Arabidopsis thaliana: one gene and its partners. The main gene of each other region encodes a partner of the protein of the gene in region 2 in a complex. Each region holds a gene or a part of one and is shown on either strand. Other genes may lie near its edges.

Region 1 (4,690 bases), on a different chromosome or scaffold from region 2:
ATGTATGTGTTATATCGTGTATAACTATTTAATTTGTTTAATTCACTTGTTCGATTGTATCTTCTTCTTAAACTTAAATCATCTTTTGGTTATATGTGTGTGTCTAATAACTATGTAATCTTTCTTTCAATTCTAATAAAATAAAACAAGATGTTAAAAAAAAAAAAACTATTTAACTATCCATGGTTGATGACTCGTACTTAAGACAAATAATCAAATTTCGTGATTCTAAAAATGAATGAAATTGATTGATATATAAGTGGGATTAGAAAAAAAAGAGTCAGATAAGTGTTATCTCGCGGTTATAATTTCAACGGTGCTAAGATAAGGATAAGGTTTGCGAAACTATATACTAATGCAACAATGGGTACCGTAGGTTTGTGATACCTAATTTGATCTAACCAACAGAATCTCTTCGTACTAGTGTAATCGAGTGGCTGAGCTGTTGATATAGAGATACGTAGTACTATTATTGTAAATAAAGAACCCAAAGAATCAAATTTGTCGACAACAAAATAAGGGGTGATAATCCGATGCACGTGGATTTGGTGAATGTATTGGATAATGCTAGTCACGTAGAAGAAAGTAATCTTATTTTGGGCCATAATTTTAGTAAATGTTTTTGAGTCTACGTAAAGAAGAGTAATTTTCATGGCAATCGCAATTTTCGCTGACAATTGATTATTTTGATATAATGTGAAATTGGTTAGGTTGGTGATAGTAGCTAGTTTGAAGCCTAACTTAGGCTTGTTATTGAGGTATAATACATTATTAACCATAAGTATTAGACAGGTTTTGGACAAATATATTTATTGGTCGCTTTGGCAGCATTGAAAAACCCTAAAAGCCACTAGAATGGATGTCTTCGAATGTCAGTTCACATAAATGTTCGCTAGCTTAATTTTATTTTCTTTTTTAAAAGAGAGGAAGCAATGATAACATAAACATTTTTATAGTGTTTTTTTTGAAACAAAAAGTTAGTTTTCTTCCTCAAATTCGATAACTAAATTACACCATAAATGAGAATATGTTTTTAGTTAAGTAGTTAAATCCATTTGATTCTACCTTTTTTACCAGAGTTTGACTCTACTAAGTCGTGTTACTTCGCATAATAAGGATTGACTATGAATCGTGTCTTGTTTATAAAAAAAAGAAAAAAAAAATTACACAACAAAGTTAAGAAAATTCAAATTTATTAATTTAATAAGCATACTTTGAATATAAATAAATCCTAAAACTCAAACTAATAAAAAAAGTATTTTTTTGTGTAGTATTAAAAGATGCAGAATCCGAAATAATGTATTTTATTGTAGAAGTGATTCAAAAGACCTTATCTCGTAGTCACTTGTAGCATTATTGGTTTAAGGTTAAAGAAAACATTTAAAACTCTGTATACATCATACATGACATCTTTACAAATTGCAAAATATACATTTTTAATCAGCTACTCTATTCTTAAATTCCTTTAATTAACGAGGTTATACAGTTCGATACGTTTAAGCAACAAAAAGTTCGATGCCACTAATAATTTAATTTTTGTTCTCTTCTTATCTTATAGATTGTTGCAGCCTGCAGGCTTGCAGCATAACGAGTTACATAACTATATACAAAGGCCCAATAGACACCTCAAAGGCCCAATAAAAAAGCCCAGGAAAAACGAAAACGAAGATATGAAGTTCTTCTCTAATCCGAAGCAAGAGGCTCAAACTCACTTTCACTTGCACAAAGATAAGGAAACCATGTCTGTGTCAGCGATCTTTGGTACCGGAATCGTCACCGTTGCTGCTTCTCCGGTTCTCCGCCAATTTCAAGTTCCAAAATTGGGTAATGGAGGAGGATTAGGGATGGTGATAGAGTGTTCGTCGAGGCCACAGAAGAAATCGACGGCTCATCACAGGAAGACGAGGCCGAAGAAGACTCAGCCTTGGGACATTAAGAGAAAGCCTACTGTTTACGCTCCTCTTCCTCCTCTTCCGGCGGAATGGAGTCCGTTCACTCTCGCTTCTGACGACGGTGGTGCTGCCACTGCTGCGGGAGATTTGGTTTCAGGCGCTGCCTAGTTGGTATGAGTTATCTGCTGATTTGGTTGTAATCTAGTTTGAGAACTTTTGTTGTTGTTTACTGTGTTTTCAGTTTTCTGATGTTTGTTGTTGGGTTTGTTTGTGTTTGATTGGTGAATGAATGGACCAAATTTGCGATTTATAAAGCTTCAACCTTTCTCCTCTGTTTTTGAGTTTAAAGGTCTCAACTTTATAGTTTATAGCTCTCGTCATTGTCATCTATGTTGCTTCTCTATAATTGCTTTTTTCCTTTTGGGTCTCATTAATTTCTGCAAGTAGTAATTGAATTGGGATGACAAGAGTTTAAGTTTGATATGTGAAAATGAAAGCACAATGGTATCTGTTTTGTGGCGGTTGATGCTGGAGTTGTTGTCAAATGCTCTGTTTGCTGCCATAGCAATGGGAATGTAGCTTCTAAAGAGTACGGTATAGTATACCGCATTATTGGAATTTTAAAATTTCCCTTTAGATTGGATTCAGGTGAAACGGCAATGTGCTCTGCTCACCATAGTGCAACACTTGGTCTAAACACTCTATTGTAGATTTTTAAGCCAAGTGATCTAAAGTGTGTTTGATGAAGAGTTTCAGCAAAAACATTTTTAGAAATGTTTATATCAGTTATGGGTTGATCACTCTGATTCTTGAATCTATCTTGTATCGGTCTAGTCCCAGGAGAAATTTAGAAGATCGATTTATCTTGCATTGCATGTTTATGGAGTCAATTCCAAGATCAACATCAATGGCTATACATTTCATAAAGCACGCATACAGAGTACATCCCGTTGAACCCATTAAACCCTGACACCTTAAAAGCTTAAGTCAAATCATCTGGAGAAATACACAATGAAGATACAAATACAGAGAGTTCGAAAGAATAAATAGTGTGAAAACAGAGGCAATCTATGAGTTTAACACAAAAGAGTGGAACCAAAACCAGTTTTTTGGGAAGAATGAGCTTCACTTGGGATGTTAGTGCTAGAGTTTTCAATGTAAGTCTGCCACTGGCCCTTTGGAGATTCATTACCTTTTGCTTGATCCTTGAAACAACCATTAGCACTTGGAGTTTTGTTGATTTTTACTTTACCTTTTACATCATCATTCCTTGGGGATGGAACTCTGTTCTCTTCAGGTTCAAACACAAAACTGAAACCGGATTTCAAAACTTCAAGCGTAGCTTCCCCACCAGTACCAGTTCTCACACTAAACTCAAGGGATGCTTTGGTCGGAGCACATTTAGGACCACCTTGGCCTTTAACAAGTTTTATGAAGTCTAAGCAGTTGGTGTAGCCAATAAAGACATGATCTGATTCAACTGTTTCTTCTTGGTTGTCTTGTTCAATCAAACTTCCAACCTTCCAAGTAATGCTGCTGGAAGAGCCCTCTCCGTTATTTTGCTCACAAGAGAACTTGACTATCAAGTTGGCATGACTTTTACAGTTCTTGAATGAGACAACAACACATAGGGCTATCCCAGAAAGCCTATTGTGATTCCAGTGAGGAGGTAATTCAAACTCCACCATAGATCCAATTGCATCGTGACTAAACCATGAAGGCATTTCACATCCAGGAAAGCTAGTGCAGAACAAAATCTCAGGAACACAACTCTGCAAAGTTATACAAAGGGGATATACCATTAACCTCAATTCCACTACGCAAAAGAAAACTCTCAAGGGAGAGGAATAGAGATACCTCATCGCATCGTTTAAGCGCACTAGCAAGCAAATGACACTTCCTTTCAGCATATACTACAATTTCCTCCTTTGCAGCTTGTTCCAATTCATTGCAGTTAGTGAAAATGAACGAGGAATTGACATGCTTCATCGGTATAGAACATACCAGCGGTTTTGCAACTGTCTTCAGTGAGCTACAACCATGAACGTTTAAATACTGAAGATTTGGTGGAAGCTGTGGAACATGTGTAAGATTCTTACAATACTTCAAATGAAGCCATTGAAGTTGAGAAAATTTATTGAGGAGATCTGGAAGGCGGCTGATCTTTTCATTCTTGTTTAAGCATAAACGACGCACGGAGAGTATCTTCGGCATATCTTTTATAGCTGTCTCATCCAGAAGCAAGATCTCTAAGCGGCTCATGTTTCCCCAAGTTTCTGGAAACTCATTGAGCTTTGAACAACCAGAGAGGATAAGTTCTTCAAGAGCTTTCAGCTGACCAAGACTGTCAGGGAGCCTTTTCAGCTTCTTGCAGCCTTTCATGTTCAACATAACAAGTCTTTGGAGTCTCCCAATGTCACAAGGAAGTTCCTTTATTGCAGTTCCATCCAAGTATAGTGCTTCCAGCTTATCTGAAATAACCTGAAAGGTTTTAAATTTTGAGCAGCCACTGAGGATGAGAGTTTTCAAAGAGATCAACTGAATCTCTGGAAGAGACTTGAGACTTGTGCATCCTCTCAGGTTCAAGAAAACAAGAAACTTCATATTTTCCATATCCACATGCATCTCTTTCAATGCCGTGCAACCTTCAAGATTTAGCTCTTGAAGATTTTGAGCTTTTCCTAACCCTGCCAAAGTGTTCAACTTCTTTGAGTGATTTAAGTTTACCCATTTTAATTTTGGTGCATCCTGGGGCAATGAACAACAATCATTACAAAGAGTCAGACAACACCCTAAGT
Region 2 (5,889 bases):
GTCTGTCTTCTATAAGCCAGGTTTGATTTTTCTCTTTTGGTTGATTGATTCATTAATCTTGCAATTGGTGTTTTGGTTTGATGATGATTTTTTCGTTGCTTAAGGGAATTTTGCTTTGTATCTTCATTGAGTCTTTGAAAGTTTATGTGTTGATTGGAATGATTCTGCATTTGTGTATTTTGGCTTGTATCTGTGATTCTTTGAAACCTTATTGTTGGTGGTTCATCGCCTAATTGGTTTTAGTTTACTCTTCAGGACAATGTCTATAAGGTGTAGTTAGGGAGCTTGCTTTGGTTAGTTGTTACTCATTGAGGAGTCTTTGAATGTGTGGATTGGAACTATTCTGCATTTGATTAAGTCTTTGGTTTGGTTTCTTGTAGAATCAGGTTATTTGTGTTTTCTATGAATCGAAAATTGAAACAAAGTGGTTTCTTGATAGAAACAGGTTTGTTGTGTTTTATATGGATTGCAAATCGAAATAAGGTTTTCGGTATGTATAGGTTTGATGATCTGTTTGGTTGGATTCAAATTTGTTACCTTCTTAGAGGGAACATTGTATTGATCGAAATTAATGTGTATAGATGTTCGTCATTGAGGAGTCTCTGAAACTTAATGTGTAGATCGAAATTATTCTGCATTTGTGTGTCTGGCTTGAACCTTCTCATTAATGCCAGTTTATCGGCTAATTGGTTTTTGTTTGCTTCTTCAGGACAATATTTATATGACGTAGTTGGAAGTCCGTACTATGTTGCACCAGAGGTGCTAAAGAAATGTTATGGACCTGAAATAGATGTGTGGAGTGCTGGTGTTATCCTCTACATTTTACTCAGCGGTGTTCCTCCCTTCTGGGCAGGTTAGTCTACTAAAAAAGTAGAGTCTTTTCTATTTACAAGTTTCGAGTTTTTGTTTGAATGATGTATTCTTTTCTCTTGGGCATTGCAGAGACTGAGTCTGGAATCTTTAGACAGATATTGCAAGGGAAGTTAGATTTCAAATCTGACCCGTGGCCTACTATCTCAGAAGCTGCTAAAGATTTGATCTATAAAATGCTCGAAAGGAGCCCCAAGAAACGCATTTCTGCTCATGAAGCCTTGTGTATGTTCATTCTTTGTTGTTCATTTGGAATTAGCAACTGTTGTGAATTGTTTTTATGGTAAATAATGAGTATTGAGTTTGCTCTGAATGTTATATAGGTCACCCATGGATTGTCGATGAACAAGCAGCACCAGACAAGCCTCTTGATCCAGCAGTCTTATCTCGTCTAAAGCAGTTTTCTCAAATGAATAAGATTAAGAAAATGGCATTACGGGTATGAATTCGAGTAATATACATTCGCTTTTTCTTTATGTCCAATCCGTATGCTGATTTCTCTGAACACAGGTAATTGCTGAGAGACTTTCAGAGGAAGAAATTGGAGGTCTGAAGGAATTGTTCAAGATGATAGACACAGACAACAGCGGAACGATTACTTTTGAAGAGCTCAAAGCGGGTTTGAAGAGAGTCGGATCTGAACTGATGGAATCAGAAATCAAGTCTCTCATGGATGCGGTATGAAAGAACCAAAACAAACTCTTTCCTCTTTTCAAAAACTTTTGTTTCCGTTTAACATCCTCTGTGTGTTGTGGTCACAGGCTGATATCGACAACAGTGGTACAATAGACTACGGAGAATTCCTAGCAGCAACCTTACACATGAACAAGATGGAGAGAGAGGAGAATCTGGTGGCTGCATTTTCGTACTTTGACAAAGACGGAAGCGGTTATATCACCATCGATGAGCTTCAGTCAGCTTGCACAGAGTTTGGTCTATGTGATACACCTCTGGACGACATGATCAAGGAGATTGATCTTGACAATGTAAACCACTCTTCTTCTTCTTCTCTTTGTTTACCTCCTTCTTCAATGTTACTTTACTATAACCGAGAGCTTTTGAATTATGTAGGACGGGAAGATCGATTTCTCGGAGTTTACAGCAATGATGAGGAAAGGAGATGGAGTTGGGAGAAGCAGAACCATGATGAAGAACTTGAACTTCAACATTGCTGATGCTTTTGGAGTTGATGGTGAAAAATCTGATGACTGACTCATCATTCTTCCACAATTTCTGTTTTTTTTCTCTTTAATTTCGTTTATATTTTGAATTCTAATTTCTAAGGATACAAAAATATATTCTGGCTTGTTTTTTGCTTTCCTTTTTATTTTTGTACATGAGCAACTTTCTAAATTTTTATCCTCATATGGATAATTTTTGCTTCATATAAAAGTTTTTGAATTCCAAAGAAATGTGATTTAGGGATGGCGAAAAGAAACCGAACCGAACCAAAATCGGATTTCATAAGTAATTTTGTTATAATACAAACTGTGAAACTGTAGAAAATTCTTATAACAACCCAAACCAAATCTAAATTCTTATAACAACCCAGACCAAATCTCAAATTGAAACCAAATTTGGTGAATTTGTAATTAACCAATATTCAGAATTAATATAACTAATTAAATATAAAGTACATTTAAATACACTAAACACTATAAAGAGATTAAGAGTAGTTAGAATTATAATTTTTGTCAAAAATCGAACAAAACCAAAATTGATGTGTATATAATATATTACTTAATTGGAAAACCCAAAATCTGAACCGAAATAAACCGGTAAACCGAAATTGCAAGCTTAGAAATTAAACCAATTTGAAGACAGGGGTACAATGGTAATTTTCAAAGGAAGTGGATAGGATAACACTGCGGATTTATTCTCCGTCGAGCTCCAAAGTCTCGAGCTTAGAGCTCTCTCTCAGTCGAAAACAATGGCGTCTTCTTCAGCGACGCTCTCTCTCTGCTCTACTTTCTCTGCTCATTGCAATGTCAATTCTCGCCGTTCTAGCACTATCCTCTGTTCTCTCTCTAAACCTTCGCTTAATTTGGCTAAACCTCTGACTGGATTTCTTTCTCCTTCCACTGCGTCGACGTCTCGAACCGCATTCACCGTCGCTCCGAAATTCGCGGAATCAGTCGTCGAAGCTGAACCGGAGACTACCGATATCGAAGCTGTGGTGGTTTCCGATGTTTCGGAGGTTACTGAGGAAAAAGCTAAACGAGAAGAGATTTTCGCTGTTATTATGGTGAGCTTGTTGAATCATACGAAACAACAAATTCTCAATTTCGGTGTTTAGCTTTTGGAATTCGGAATTAGGTTTGGTTGATTGATGAATTTGATTTTAGAGTTTTGATAATGAGAGACTGTGTTTTTGTGGTATCTACTCTTAAGATTTAGGGTTTAGGTTTAACGAATGTTGACTTCTTAAGGGAGAGATTGTGTTTTTGTGGCATATACTCTTCAAGGTTTAGAGTTTGGCTTTGTTATAATTGATTTTGTTTCTCTCATTTGCAATCTCTGATTTAGCTTAGTGTTGTTCTCTTTGGTTTGAATAGGTTGGTGGACGCCAATACATAGTGTTTCCAGGGAGATATCTCTACACTCAGAGGCTAAAAGATGCAAATGTTGATGACCAGGTATATGCACATTTGCTTTCAATGACTATGTGATGTGTTCTTCTTTGTAAAAAACTCTGTGTACGAAATGGTATATCTGTGAAAAGATGATGTAACTATGGAAGATTGAGTAAACTTTGTGGCTTGTGTAGAAGTTCTATTCTTTTGCCTATGTTAACATTGTGTTAAGCTGTTCTCTGTTGCATTTTTGGTGATTCCTGAAGTTTTCATATTTTGTTTTTTCTCTTGTGCAGATTGTTCTCAACAAAGTGTTGCTTGTTGGAACAAAGACACACACTTACATTGGCAAGCCGGTTGTGACCAATGCCACTGTACATGCTGTTGTGGAAAGTCAAGTAAGTCAATACAAACGATTTCTTAAATTTCTGATTGGTGGTTTTGTATTTTCGACTATGTAGTCGCCTCTAAACTTGGAATAACCGGAATGTCATTTGTTGTTGTAGGGTTTGAATGATAAAGTGGTAGTCTTCAAGTACAAGCCTAAGAAGAAGTACCGTAGAAATATCGGTCACAGACAGGTATTGCTGAAAGTCCTCTTCCTTATATTTGAACTATGTAATGTTACAATCAACAGACTACTATCAGTTACTTGTTGTAATTTGCTATGGCTGATGAAACTGAAATCTCTTTGAAGTAATGACACTTATGTTGTGACTTATGTGTTGATATTGTAGCCGAATACGAGGATTAGGATTACCGGAATCACAGGGTATGAAGAGTATCCAGCCTCGCCCAATGTTGCAGTTGGAGAAGTAAATCTTTGACACAAAATGTTTCTTGAATGTTAAAATTTTTCTGATCTTCTCTATGTAATTTTGTAAGGACCCTGGTCATTTCATTTCTGCTGAGATTCCTTTTATTAATATGTACCTTTTGCCATTCTTTGATCACAAATTCTAAGTTAGTGTATGAAAACTTCAATATAGCTCATCCATCAATCTACGCATACTAATGAATTTTATAGAATAAAACAACTTCTACCACTTCAGTGGACACAATACAGAAATACAGAAATTGATATTGAGATTTTGAAAATGGACGGGACCGTCCATAACATTTTTCCGTCCGCAAAGGCACAAACACATGAAAGACATTATGGTGTTTTTTGATATGTTTTTGACAAAATTTTGATATGTTGTTGCGATTTTCTAGTAAAAGACATTATGTGCACCAATAGTGTGAGATGTATTATGGTGATTTTCTGATGAGGAATTGAGAAATGAGTTTTTTTTATTATATATATGCAAAAGATAGATTGTCTCCGATTATTAGTTTGGTTGTATACATGTTGGGTTGTAACTTTTCACTTCAGTGGCACAACATGTGAAGGCTATATACATGTTGGGTTGTAATTTTTTGCTTTCTTACTCTTGTGGTTGATTAGGTCCGAGTTTGGTTTACTAGTTTTGCAAACCTTTTTTTTTTTAAGTTTGGTGCAACAAAACCCTTTACCAAAAATATATAGGTTAAGATAATTTATAAATAACTAAATAATGACTACTTGACTATTAAAAATATATGCTTTAAAATAGAGTAAAATATATATTCATTTAGTTTATGAGATTCCAGTTTACTTTCTAACTTAAATTTCAGAGATTTCATAATATTTTCGATATTTTTCTTGTCCTTTTAAATATAATATTAGTCTTCAAAATAATGTTATTATATAGACTAGGTTTAAAATCTGAGAAATGATTATTAAATAGTAAAATAAATAAACAGCTTAATTTTATTAACAGAACCTTTTTTATCAGCCAGTTGGCAAATGAAAATATGAAAAAATTTCCATGCTGGCTACTATTTTTAATTAATTTTTACAGAAATTTATTTAAATTTCTTTAAAAGCAACTAAATGCTAAATTTATCTATTACTAACTAGATATTGACCCGCGGTATACCACGGGTTGATTATTTACGTTAGAAATTATATTATTTTTTTAATTCTATATCATCTATATTTAAATAATCAAGTTATATTTTGAATTTATCATCTTACTTTTTATATCTATTTATTTTTGATATTATATTTGTATTTGTTTGGTTTAATCTTGTTTAATTAAGAAAATCTGTTTATTATAAGCACATTATATCGGGAGTGTATTTTTATGGTGCGTTATTACGTGTTTGTTATATAATATTTTTTTTTGTTAAAATGAACGTATTTGGCTTAAAATAGTTTTCTTAACTAATATATACATGTTTTTTTATGGTGCGTTATTACGTGCGTTCTTAACTAATATAGATGATATTAAATTAAAAAAGTAATTTAATTTCAAATGGTTTTTATCATACAAAAAAAATTTTTTTCTAGATTTCAAATATTATTAATATTACAAAAATTTTATAGAATCTAAATATTATAGATACCAACTTATTAAGAGGT
Region 3 (5,823 bases), about 12 Mb from region 2:
AATTGCAGCCTTGTAAGAGATCCTCGAGCGTTTCTTGGCTAATACATCGCCAAGGACAGATATCCCGTTCCTGCCACACTCATCATCAACGAATATCGCAATGACTTGTCTCCATCCGGAATATGATAGAAAATCTGCGATCGCATGCATTTGGAAGTAATCATTCTGCGTGGTGCGGAGGAAATAAGGAAATTGCAGAGAGGAGAGAGTCGGATCCGTTGCTCCAAATGACAAGAGAGGTACATGAAGCTCATTAGCTACATAGGAGATCATGTGAGCAATCCCTGAAGATTGTGGACCAATGGCTGCAACCACTTTGTTTTCCATCAGCTGCAAAGCTACACCATAAGATGAAACATAATCATCACTCATTCTTTGGGGGCATTTTCACAAACTAGTTCTGAGTTAAAAAGTTGGCCACAGTAGTAAGAGAGAAGAAGAAGGAGAAGCAGTATATATACCTCCCATGGTGCCGATAAATCCACTGCAATTTGAGTCTTGAAAGATGATATTAAGCTTGATGCCCTTAAGAACACTTTGGTCAGCATTAACATCATCCATAGCTGCTTTAACCGCGGGTTTAGCCGCTCTTCCGATAAAAGAATCATAAGTAAACAGAGCTCCAACATTCACAGAGCTTGGCCTCTGTCTTAATGGCCGCAAAGAAGAAGAAGAAGAAGAAGACGAGTTTCTAGAGAAATTACTTCTACAAGCACATTCCTTTGGAACAACCCACAAGACAGAAACACATAACAACACAACTCTGATTGCTTTCGCCATGGAAACTTCTCTTATCATCACCAAAAATCCCATCTTTATCACAATTTCCAGCAAAAGCACTAGTTTTTCTTTGTCCTGGTCTCATATAACCATTTGATTTATTTGGAGTAACACCTGCGAAATAAACAATGCCCAACCTGAATCAAAATTGAGATTATAACAAAAGACAAAAAAGATGGTCCAGAAATCTGGTGAAAGAAGGCAAAACCAACCAAGAAATCGGGAGTTAGATTCTGTAGAGAGATTGGTGTATACAGATTTTTGTGTCTGTATATTTATTTATAGTGTATAAAATAATGTATTTATATGAGGCCCTTTGATTCTAGAAACTGGTGCTTTACATGTGCAAGTAAGAACTGAAAATAATGAAGTGTAAGAGGGCCGTCTTAAAGATGGTTCGCAGAGAAAGAAGCAAAAAGTGTAATAAATAATTCAATGAACAAATAACTAAAGATTATATATGTAAGAACATAAAGAAAAACAAAAATTAAAAGATCCAATTGAGAAAAAGAAGAAGCAACCTTGGAATAAATACGAGAAACAAACTTTAATCAGAGATCCATAATCTTCACAAGTAAACGAGTGATTTAGCACTAAGCATAAAGAAGAAAGACAGAGAAAAGAAGTCGAAGAAGCAGAAGAAGAACTGTTTCTGAGCTCAAGCAAAGAATAATTCATAATATTCTCTCTCCTTTTTTTTCCCTATTTTCTTCCTTATCATTACTTATTTTTTTGGTATTTTATGAAATTTTGTAAATTTTGTTTTGGAGTGCTATTTCTGGAGTGGTCAGTGAAGACGTAGGCCAAGGTGTGGGGTAGTATGATCGATGCTTTACTTGTGTCCTCATACTATTCGATAAATCAAATTTTTACGTTGGCTCTTATTGGTAACTATCATTTATTAAGGTAGTTGATGCATTTTTCTTTTTGGTTACAACGGATATAGTTAAATGGTAATTAGGGTAACTACGTATGACATGAGGCAAAATAATAATTGAAAATGTGAATGTGAGGAGTGACGACCTAATTGCTCCAAGGCCGCCTTCGTCAAAGAATAAGTCTCCTCAACGGTTGTCAAATCAATTTCACACAAAAAAAAAAGAAAAGAAAAAGATATTTTCAGACATAAATAGTAAAGTAATTGTACTATTGATTTCATATGATAAAAGGTGCATGAAACACATGGTCGACTATTTTTTGTCTTTAGAGTGTTCATTAAGGAATGTTATTAAAAAAAACTTATAAGAGCTGCATTTGTTATTACATAGTTCCTTATTGAAATTTTCATTTGTTAATTGTTAACACAAAATAAAATATGCCACTGAATCCACAAATATCTTGTCGGTATCGAACTTTTTATTTATTTAGAACAAGAATATCTTGACCAAATGAAATGTGAACCAGGAAAATAAATATACAGTTCATCTTTTTTTTCTTTGAATCTTCTCAATTTGTTGTTTGGATTTTTCTGAGGGTAAGGGCCCATTTCATTTTTAAATTTGTCTGTTAAGAGTAGTTTAAAATCCATGCCTTTAAAAGATTCGACTTGAAAACATACTTAATCGGGAAAGATGCACAATTTTGATCCAAACGCATCTACTAATAATCTATTGACTTCATTAATCTAATCCAAACTCCACGTTCATTGGGTAAATTTTGTGAACAGTTATTATAATAATGGGCCTAGAAACAGTGAGATAATAGGCCATGATCAATATAGATAAATGGGTTACACAAATAATGAATTGTCCCACAGAAGGATGGTTAAAAGTAATGGGCCGAAAATAGTGAGCTAATGGGCCGTGAAAGTAATGATTTGAAAGAGGGGATTACAGAAGCTGACGATGGATAAGTCTTTTCTGGATAAAACGCTCTTCTTCTTCTCTTCATCCTCCTTCTGGAGCAGAGCTTAGAGCTCCATCATCAAATCTTATCAATGGCTTCCTCACTCGTCTCATCTTTTCAACCCAGGTACTTTTCATATACTACAAACCATAGAGCTTCTTCATTCCGCTAGGGTTTCGTTTTCTTTACTTGGCATTTTCTACTCAAAAATCTCTATAAACTGTGTTCATGAGCCTCCCAAGTATAAGGAATCTCTTTGAATGGGTTATTTTTATCTTTTTAAATCGATGGCAATGTTGAATTGGTTATGGACTCTTGAAATTGTGGATTTTTATTTTGGGAATTTGAATGTGTTATGCGGAACTCACTGTGTAAAAAGCAGGATTCTAGAGGGGTTTTTAGCCATGGAAACTGAAAGTTCTACAAGAATGTTTCTCTTCCTTAATCTAACGTTATCTTTGTTCCAATAACAGTTTCTGTGTATTGGTTTAGATATATATCTGGTAGAGTTTTACTTTCTTGACATGTTTTATCTGAAGATAGATAGATAACTTCCCCTTTGTTTTAGGTCAGCATTTTTGGGAGATAGAAATGTGTTCAAGGTCTCAAGCACACCTTTTGCTCAAGTGGGTTACTCCAGTAAGACCATTGAGTGCAAAGAATCAAGGATAGGAAAGCAACCGATCGCTGTACCTTCCAATGTAACCATTGCATTGGAAGGTCAAGACTTGAAAGTGAAGGGTCCATTAGGAGAGCTGGCTTTAACTTACCCACGCGAAGTTGAGCTTACAAAGGAAGAATCCGGTTTCTTAAGGGTCAAAAAAACCGTCGAAACTAGAAGAGCCAACCAAATGCACGGCCTTTTCAGGTTACAAACTTCTCATCTTTTCTTGTCATCCAATGAAGTCCTTAACTTTTTTGAGGTTAAAAGATCGTTTGTTCTCTAATCTTTTTTTTTAACTTCTGTGTGACTTTTAGGACGCTTACCGATAACATGGTTGTGGGAGTATCAAAGGGATTTGAGAAAAAGCTTATACTTGTGGGTGTTGGTTATCGTGCAACAGTAGACGGAAAGGAGCTGGTGCTAAATCTCGGGTTTTCACACCCGGTGAAGATGCAGATACCGGATAGTCTGAAAGTGAAAGTGGAAGAGAACACAAGAATCACTGTGAGTGGATACGACAAGAGCGAAATCGGGCAGTTTGCTGCAACGGTTAGGAAGTGGAGGCCACCAGAGCCATACAAGGGGAAAGGAGTCAAGTATTCCGATGAGATAGTTCGGAGGAAGGAAGGAAAAGCTGGAAAGAAGAAATGATCTTCATTTTTCATTATTATCTACTTACTTATCTCTTCCTTTCAATGTTTATGTGTATTTGCTCAAATTTGTTTAGAAATGAAGATGTTTGTGTTGGGATTCTTGAGTAAGTTTTTAAAGGAACCCATTAATTGTTTTTGATGCTCTGACAAAAATTTCTTTAGTGCTTTGATTGAACAAGAACTTGGGCACAAAGTGCCTCATCGGTGTGATTCTATTGTTATGTTTCCTTATTGAACCAAACCAATCCAAATCGGACAAAAATCATGGTAGATAAACTTTTTAAAACAATTTTTTAATCTATTCTTCTTTTTTTTAATTACAAATTTTCTTATTTTCTTATATCTAAAAAATCGTAACAGTAAGATATTAATATCTGTATTCTTAATTTGGTAGATAACTTTTTAAAAAACGAAAATTTCCTATAAGAATAATAATAGTCGGAAATAAAACAAAAAACAATATCATGGTGATTATTCTTATTTGCTTATATCTTCTTCTTTTTCACAATTTTTTTTTAAAAAAAATATTTACAAAATTTTCTTATTTGCTTATATATATAAAAAATCAGTAAGATATTAATATCGATTTTTTAATTTGGTAGATAACTTTTTTCAAACGATAAATTTCCTAAAAACAATAAAATATTCGGAAATAAACAAAAACCCTGATTGAAGAAAAGTCTTTTTGTTTATCAGTTCACCGGAGGCAAAAATCGTCTCTCGCTTGAGCTGCGAAGATGCAAGCAGTAAAAAGATCCAGGAGACATGTTGAAGAAGAGCCAACAATGGTAGAACCTAAAACCAAGTACGATCGTCAGCTCAGGTATACATACTCTTTTTCCTTAAACTCTACTTCGAACTACTCTTGTCGGGAGGAAAATTGATGAAGTAGTAATCGTTGGGTTGACTGATTAGGATTTGGGGGGAGGTAGGTCAAGCGGCCTTGGAAGAAGCGAGTATCTGTTTACTCAATTGTGGCCCTACTGGTTCCGAGGCTTTGAAGAATCTCGTACTTGGTGGTGTTGGTAGCATCACCGTTGTTGATGGATCTAAGGTTCAATTTGGTGACCTTGGGAACAATTTCATGGGTACTGACTAATTTTGAAACTTTTTGATTGTGTTTCTTCTGGGGGTTTTGGGGGACTTGCTTGCGTTATGATGATTTTTTTTTTTCATGTGAAGTCGATGCGAAGAGTGTTGGCCAATCAAAAGCCAAATCTGTTTGTGCGTTTCTCCAAGAGCTTAATGATTCTGTTAACGCCAAGTTTATTGAGGAGAATCCAGACACGTTGATTACTACTAACCCATCTTTCTTCTCTCAGTTCACTCTCGTTATAGCCACTCAGGTACCATTGTTTTTCTATTTGTAATCTTCTCTAATGATTTGTGTGTTACAATTTTTCAAAGTTCTAATCTTTGCTTACACAGTCACTCACCATGGATCATGATACCTTCTATTCAATGTTCTTTAGTTAGTTTCTCATATGTACTTTTCCTCGTCCTCTTCACGGGATATTGCTTTATTAGGCTTCTTTTTCCTGTGTTATTGTTATTTAAGTTCGTTATTTCATCCCCTTTTCGACATTGATTGGTTGCAGCTGGTGGAAGATTCAATGTTGAAACTTGATAGAATCTGTCGAGATGCAAACGTTAAGTTGGTTTTGGTTCGCTCTTATGGCCTTGCTGGGTTTGTTCGCATCTCTGTAAAGGTAATTAATACCACCTGTCTAGACCCAATTTGTGATAAAGTTTAGATTACTTTGTGGTATGCCGTGGTTAGGATATTGGCCAATGAGAATATATGCTAAGCTCTCTTCTTTTCTTTTTTATCAGGAGCACCCCATAATTGACTCAAAACCTGATCATTTTCTTGACGACCTC
Region 4 (5,032 bases), on a different chromosome or scaffold from region 2:
CGACAGTGGGTAAAACTTTTTATATCGAAAATGAGTGTAGAGTGTCTTTTAAATATCTCTTAACGTATTCCCTTTTGAAAGTACTGTAATTGTATATGTCAGTGACCCTTGGTTTATAGTTCAGATCAAATTTTTAGTTTGTGCCATAGTTTCGATACCACTGTAATTTGTAATCTCTTGCTCTAGAGACAAAACATCGGTATTTCTAAATTTGACTTGGTCCTTTCCATTCATGGTTCATGATGTGGGGCATATCTTGGAATTTTGTTGCATGTTTTTCATGCTGACAGCTTTTATATCCTTTTCCGTTTAATTGTCTGTCAGTAGAATATCAATTTTGTTAGAGTTAACAACAAAGGAATAAAACATGTGGCTGGATCAACTTTTTTGTAAGTTTGGCTGGTAGTAGGTGTTATGATCAAAAGCTTGTTCATAGTGGTTCAACCTGGAAAGCCAAATGTCAGACCACCTTATTATAATCTTAAAGTGAAAAACACGCAGAGAATAGAAGTGCAGTTCTCTCCGCAGCTACGGCATCTTTGTGGTTGATAATGTTGAAAGCTTCACTGTATTTGCTTGCTATACTAATTTCTTTTTCTGTCAAGCTTGATATTGAGCCTAGTGTACTTGTTGCAGATCTTCATTGGCGGATTTTCAAAAGCTATTTCATCTGAAATGGTATGCTGAACTGTAATTCTTTGAAAACATTTGACACGTTCAATCTTCTATTGTCCCCATTTCTATCGTTTCAACTTCTAGGATTGTCTGATTCCTCTTTAACGTTTTTCCAGCTTATGGAGATTGTCAGCGTCTTTGGACCTTTGAAAGCATACCGGTTCGTGAGCAACAATGATCTCAATCAGCGATGCGCTTTCCTAGAGGTTAGAATGTACTTTTATTTGTGGCCAAGATACCCCCATCTTAGTCTGCCATCTCGATGTAGTTCTTGTGATTGTTTCATATCTTTAATTTTTCATTTTCCGGGTAGCATGGGAAGGTGTTATTACCTTGTAACTTTTACAGAGTAACCATGAATGTGACTGTAGTTCCAAGTATATTCATATTAACCAGCCCTAACTCTTTTTAAATCTCTATATTTCAGTACACTGATGGATCTGTTACCCTCAAAGCTTGTGCTGGTCTAAATGGTATGAGGTTAGGTGGCAGTGTAATAACAGCCGTTTGTGCATTTCCTGATGCATCATCCGTAGCGGTAATTCAGTGACCCAACTTTGCTTTCGTTAGTTCATGTTGTGTTTGTATGGGTGACATTGAACAGAAATTCCTTTAGTTACTTGTGAGAGTGGTGTGTGTACGTAATATGTGTTGCAGGTGAATGAGAATCCACCATTCTATGGGATACCTAGCCATGCAAAACCACTTCTTGGCAAGCCTAAGAATATTCTAAAGCTAAAAAATGTGGTAAGCATAATTGGTGTATCCTTTTTCTTGTGAATCTTTCCCAAATAAACTATGTGAGGCTATATTAACATTCCATTCTTTCTTGTTTGACAGGTTGACCCAGAAGATCTCACGTCGTTTTCCGAGCAAGAAGTGAAAGAAATTTTGGAGGATGTACGGTTAGAATGTGCCAGGTTAAGCTCTGAGATCATCTTCCCATGAGTCCATTGAGCTTTTAAAAGCTAGTAAATTAAGAAAATAGGCCTCTGGGTCTTGTCATGATGCAGGTTTGGGGTTATTAAGTCGATAAACATCTTGGAACACAAGAGCAAAGATATCACTGTTTCTGAAACAAATCCATTGTTGAACTTAGAATCAACTGATTCTAAAGAAATGAATGTGTCAGTGATCGAGGAGAAAGATGAAGGATCCGAGAAAGCGGAAGATATTGCAGACAATGTAGATCTTGCAGAGGTTGTCATGCCAGACAGTTTGACAGGTGAAGACAAGTTATGTGAACCGTGCTCGGATACTGCTGCTGAAACAAGCACTCAAGAAAATGAAGATCTACACTCCACTGAACAAGAGCATTGTGAAAAGATTGTTGAAGAAAGTGCGCAGGCCGAGGCAGAGAATCCACAAGAAGTAGCATCAGTGCGTACCGTGAAGACAAGATGGGATGCTGGCGACAAGATAGAAGAAGAACAAGAAGAAGACCCCGAGGATGTATTTGAGACGGGTTGTATCTTCATTGAGTACAGAAGACCAGAAGCGACATGTGATGCAGCCCATTCTTTACACGGAAGGCTATATGATAACCGGATTGTGAAAGCAGAATATGTTTCTAAAGAGCTTTACCAAATCCGGTTCCCAAGTGGGTAAATAATCCCACAACAAGTGAGACTCTGTGATTCTTCTCATCTTTACCACATAACCGGTTCAAACCGAGTTCAGAGATACATAGCATCTACAATCAAAAACCCTTCAAAAATCTCTTTGTAATCGTTGGGATTGATCAGGTTGGATTATTCATCACCACCTGTGTCTCGTTACTTTTATGTATTAGAGAATCCAAGAAGGGAAAGATGAAACCATACTATTGTGTTGGTGGCTATATGGACCGGTTTGCTTACTGAAAAATTGTTGTGTTAAAAGAGAACGTAACCTTCTGAATGAGAAAGCGTCTTTCATTTTCTACAAAATAATAAATAAAATGAACCCAATCTCCTTCTTTATCCAAATCCTCCTTCGAAGCAGAAGTAACAGCAACCAAAAATGACGACAATGGCGACACAAGGCGCTTGGCTACGAATGACCTCATCAGCCAAGTCCATGACCAAGTCAACCGTGACTTCAAAGGAGCTTGGATTCCTCACCTCCCAGCTCAGCGGCTTAAGAATCTCATATACTCCCAGTGACGTCATCAACCGTATCTCCCTTCCTTCGTTCCCCGGGATTCAGCCAATCGTCGCACGTAATTCCCCTTTTCCCTTTCTCTTAGGGTTTAGTCGAATGCATTGGCGTACTAAATTTATCTTGCTTTCGTTTTATTCATGTCGAATTTCGAATCTCTGAGTTAGCAAGCTTGTGTTGAATTGTCTGGAACTATGTCTTTGCTTTTAGATATGAAAATGAGCAGTGTATTTAAAACCCGTAGCATAATTTCTCGTATTAAACTTTTCCTTTGAATTTGATGTTATGTTAAAAAAATTCTCCAAAATTGACCACATTTATATGATTCTGAGCATTGGGCAATTTGCTCCTTTTTTCTTGAAACTGTGTTTTTGTTTTCCAAAATGTCAGGTAGAATCTGCCCTTTTACTGGGAAGAAAGCAAACAGAGCAAACAAAGTTTCATTCTCTAACCACAAGACCAAGAAGTTGCAATTCGTCAACTTACAATACAAGAGAGTTTGGTGGGAAGCTGGCAAACGTTTTGTCAAACTTCGTTTATCAACTAAGGCTTTGAAGACCATTGAGAAGAACGGACTCGACGCTGTTGCCAAGAAAGCCGGCATTGATCTTCGCAAGAAATAGATATGATGATCGCAAAGTTTATTATATACATTTCTTGCTTCTCCTTTTGCAGTACTCGTACATTTCCTTTCTAGATTTTGGTAAGTATCAATGGAATCTCTGAGTTGTTGTATCAGACACTGTCAAGAAAAGACTTTAAAGAGAAACGAAAACAAACTCTCACTTGCAGGTGGCTCAAATAATACATTTCATGGTTTTGTTTATGTTTCTCAGATAATATCGTTACAGGTTGTATCAACTGAATTCTCGGGTTTTCCTTTTGAAGACTTCTTAATCGAACCTTCTCCTCCTGCTGATGATCCTTTTAGTTTCCTAGGACGCGATGTAGCCTTCCGTGGAGGAGCTGAACCATCAGGTATTTGATTAGGAACTTCTGTGTCTGGAGCCGGGATACCACCACGCCTTCTGCGAACTGATGGTTCTTGATCATTCGATGAGTCTGTTGACCCGTGTGCGCTTCGGTTATGTCTTGAATGCTTTGATGGTTCATCTGATGATGCAGCATTTCCGCTACTTTTTCTAGGCGGAGACCCGTTATGATTTGGAGAAGCTGCTCCTCCGGGTTTCCGCCTTGTTTTCTGTTTCGGTTTCTCGTTTGTGTTCGAAGGCAGTAACTCTTTTAGCCCGGCTCCACGTTGGTTCGTCCCTATTGAGATACACATCAATTCCTCGAACCAATCCAGATTTGTTCCTCAAAGCTTAACACTTTAAGGGAAAAGGAAAAACACACTTTGCAAAAATAACTAACCTTGCGGGTTGTATTTGTTGGAATTTCCCCTGGAAACGACTTGACCTTTCTCATGTTCTTGAGTTTTAAAGTCATTCATCTGCAGTTTTTGTCCCATAAAAAAACAATAATGAGCACAGATACGTGTGACATGTATGAAAATACGTATAAATGTACGTATGATCTTACCCAGCTTGGTGTGGTGTTGGTTGGACCGTCGGAGCCAATGTGGGCAACATGCTTTACATCGGTCGGAAATCCTATCTGCATCTCCTGCTCTTTCTCTTCATCTGCAATAGAATAATTACATCCACCATGTAATTTGACTTTTGACACAAGAAACACAAATGATTTTTCATTTTTTTCATGTTTATGGGGAAAATGAATGAGACTCACCAAAAATCTGAGTAATGTAACGAAGGCCCTTAAGAAGACCCTTCATTGTCGTCGCCATTGGTCTATAAAGGGTTGGTTCCGGCTAATGTGTATCCACACGCCGGATACAACCTTTGTGGTTCAAGATTTGACGATCGTTACCGTAAACCTAACATGCAGAAAAAGAAAACGAAGAACAAATCAAGAAAAAAGTTGTAAGGCACAAACAAAAAAACAACAGAGAATATAACGAAATCTGAAGACTTAAACCTTGAACGCATGGATTTTCTCTTGACGAGAAAAAAAAATGTTGAAATGTTTTGAAGAGAGAGAGAGAGGGAGGGAGGGAGAGAGAGAAGGATCGAGAGATCTCCGAGGAGTTATTGGTTAAAGATCAACAGACCAAAAAGAAGAAGAGGAAGAGCACTAAGTTTTGTTGTTGTTTTAACAGAGGATAAAAAAATTTAGAAAAGAAAGAAATATTTTCATAGTT

Evidence for each region.
Region 1: RPL21C (region 2) and PSRP6 share a complex: the UniProt entries of both Arabidopsis thaliana proteins name them as parts of the 50S ribosomal subunit.
Region 3: RPL21C (region 2) and emb2394 share a complex: the UniProt entries of both Arabidopsis thaliana proteins name them as parts of the 50S ribosomal subunit.
Region 4: RPL21C (region 2) and PRPL28 share a complex: the UniProt entries of both Arabidopsis thaliana proteins name them as parts of the 50S ribosomal subunit.

What each region holds. Positions count from the first base shown.
Region 1 is NC_003076.8:5,906,078-5,910,767, forward strand, and holds PSRP6 (plastid-specific 50S ribosomal protein 6), read left to right. Parts: upstream 1-1,511; 5' UTR 1,512-1,670; coding exon 1,671-2,060; 3' UTR 2,061-2,387; downstream 2,388-4,690. Other genes in the region: CSA1 (disease resistance protein (TIR-NBS-LRR class)), read right to left, coding at 2,797-2,858, 2,995-3,664, 3,750-4,640.
Region 2 is NC_003070.9:13,205,977-13,211,865, forward strand, and holds RPL21C (Ribosomal protein L21), read left to right. Parts: upstream 1-2,706; 5' UTR 2,707-2,800; coding exon 2,801-3,115; intron 3,116-3,425; coding exon 3,426-3,506; intron 3,507-3,739; coding exon 3,740-3,841; intron 3,842-3,949; coding exon 3,950-4,024; intron 4,025-4,180; coding exon 4,181-4,270; 3' UTR 4,271-4,452; downstream 4,453-5,889. Other genes in the region: CDPK2 (calcium-dependent protein kinase 2), read left to right, coding at 1-20, 710-853, 943-1,095, 1,194-1,309, 1,381-1,548, 1,632-1,856, 1,942-2,082. UniProt on the Arabidopsis thaliana protein: This protein binds to 23S ribosomal RNA in the presence of protein L20.
Region 3 is NC_003070.9:1,500,632-1,506,454, reverse strand, and holds emb2394 (Ribosomal protein L6 family), read left to right. Parts: upstream 1-2,601; 5' UTR 2,602-2,716; coding exon 2,717-2,751; intron 2,752-3,193; coding exon 3,194-3,493; intron 3,494-3,603; coding exon 3,604-3,940; 3' UTR 3,941-4,204; downstream 4,205-5,823. Other genes in the region: GLR3.4 (glutamate receptor 3.4), read right to left, coding at 1-338, 462-813; AXR1 (NAD(P)-binding Rossmann-fold superfamily protein), read left to right, coding at 4,680-4,765, 4,858-5,030, 5,125-5,288, 5,541-5,651, 5,776-5,823. UniProt on the Arabidopsis thaliana protein: This protein binds directly to 23S ribosomal RNA and is located at the aminoacyl-tRNA binding site of the peptidyltransferase center.
Region 4 is NC_003071.7:14,170,944-14,175,975, forward strand, and holds PRPL28 (Ribosomal L28 family), read left to right. Parts: upstream 1-2,635; 5' UTR 2,636-2,676; coding exon 2,677-2,875; intron 2,876-3,200; exon of another isoform or gene 3,201-3,204; coding exon 3,205-3,437; 3' UTR 3,438-3,646; downstream 3,647-5,032. Other genes in the region: AT2G33435 (RNA-binding (RRM/RBD/RNP motifs) family protein), read left to right, coding at 637-678, 792-881, 1,103-1,213, 1,333-1,422, 1,516-1,595, 1,689-2,283; RIC1 (ROP-interactive CRIB motif-containing protein 1), read right to left, coding at 3,647-4,083, 4,186-4,264, 4,354-4,454, 4,561-4,618.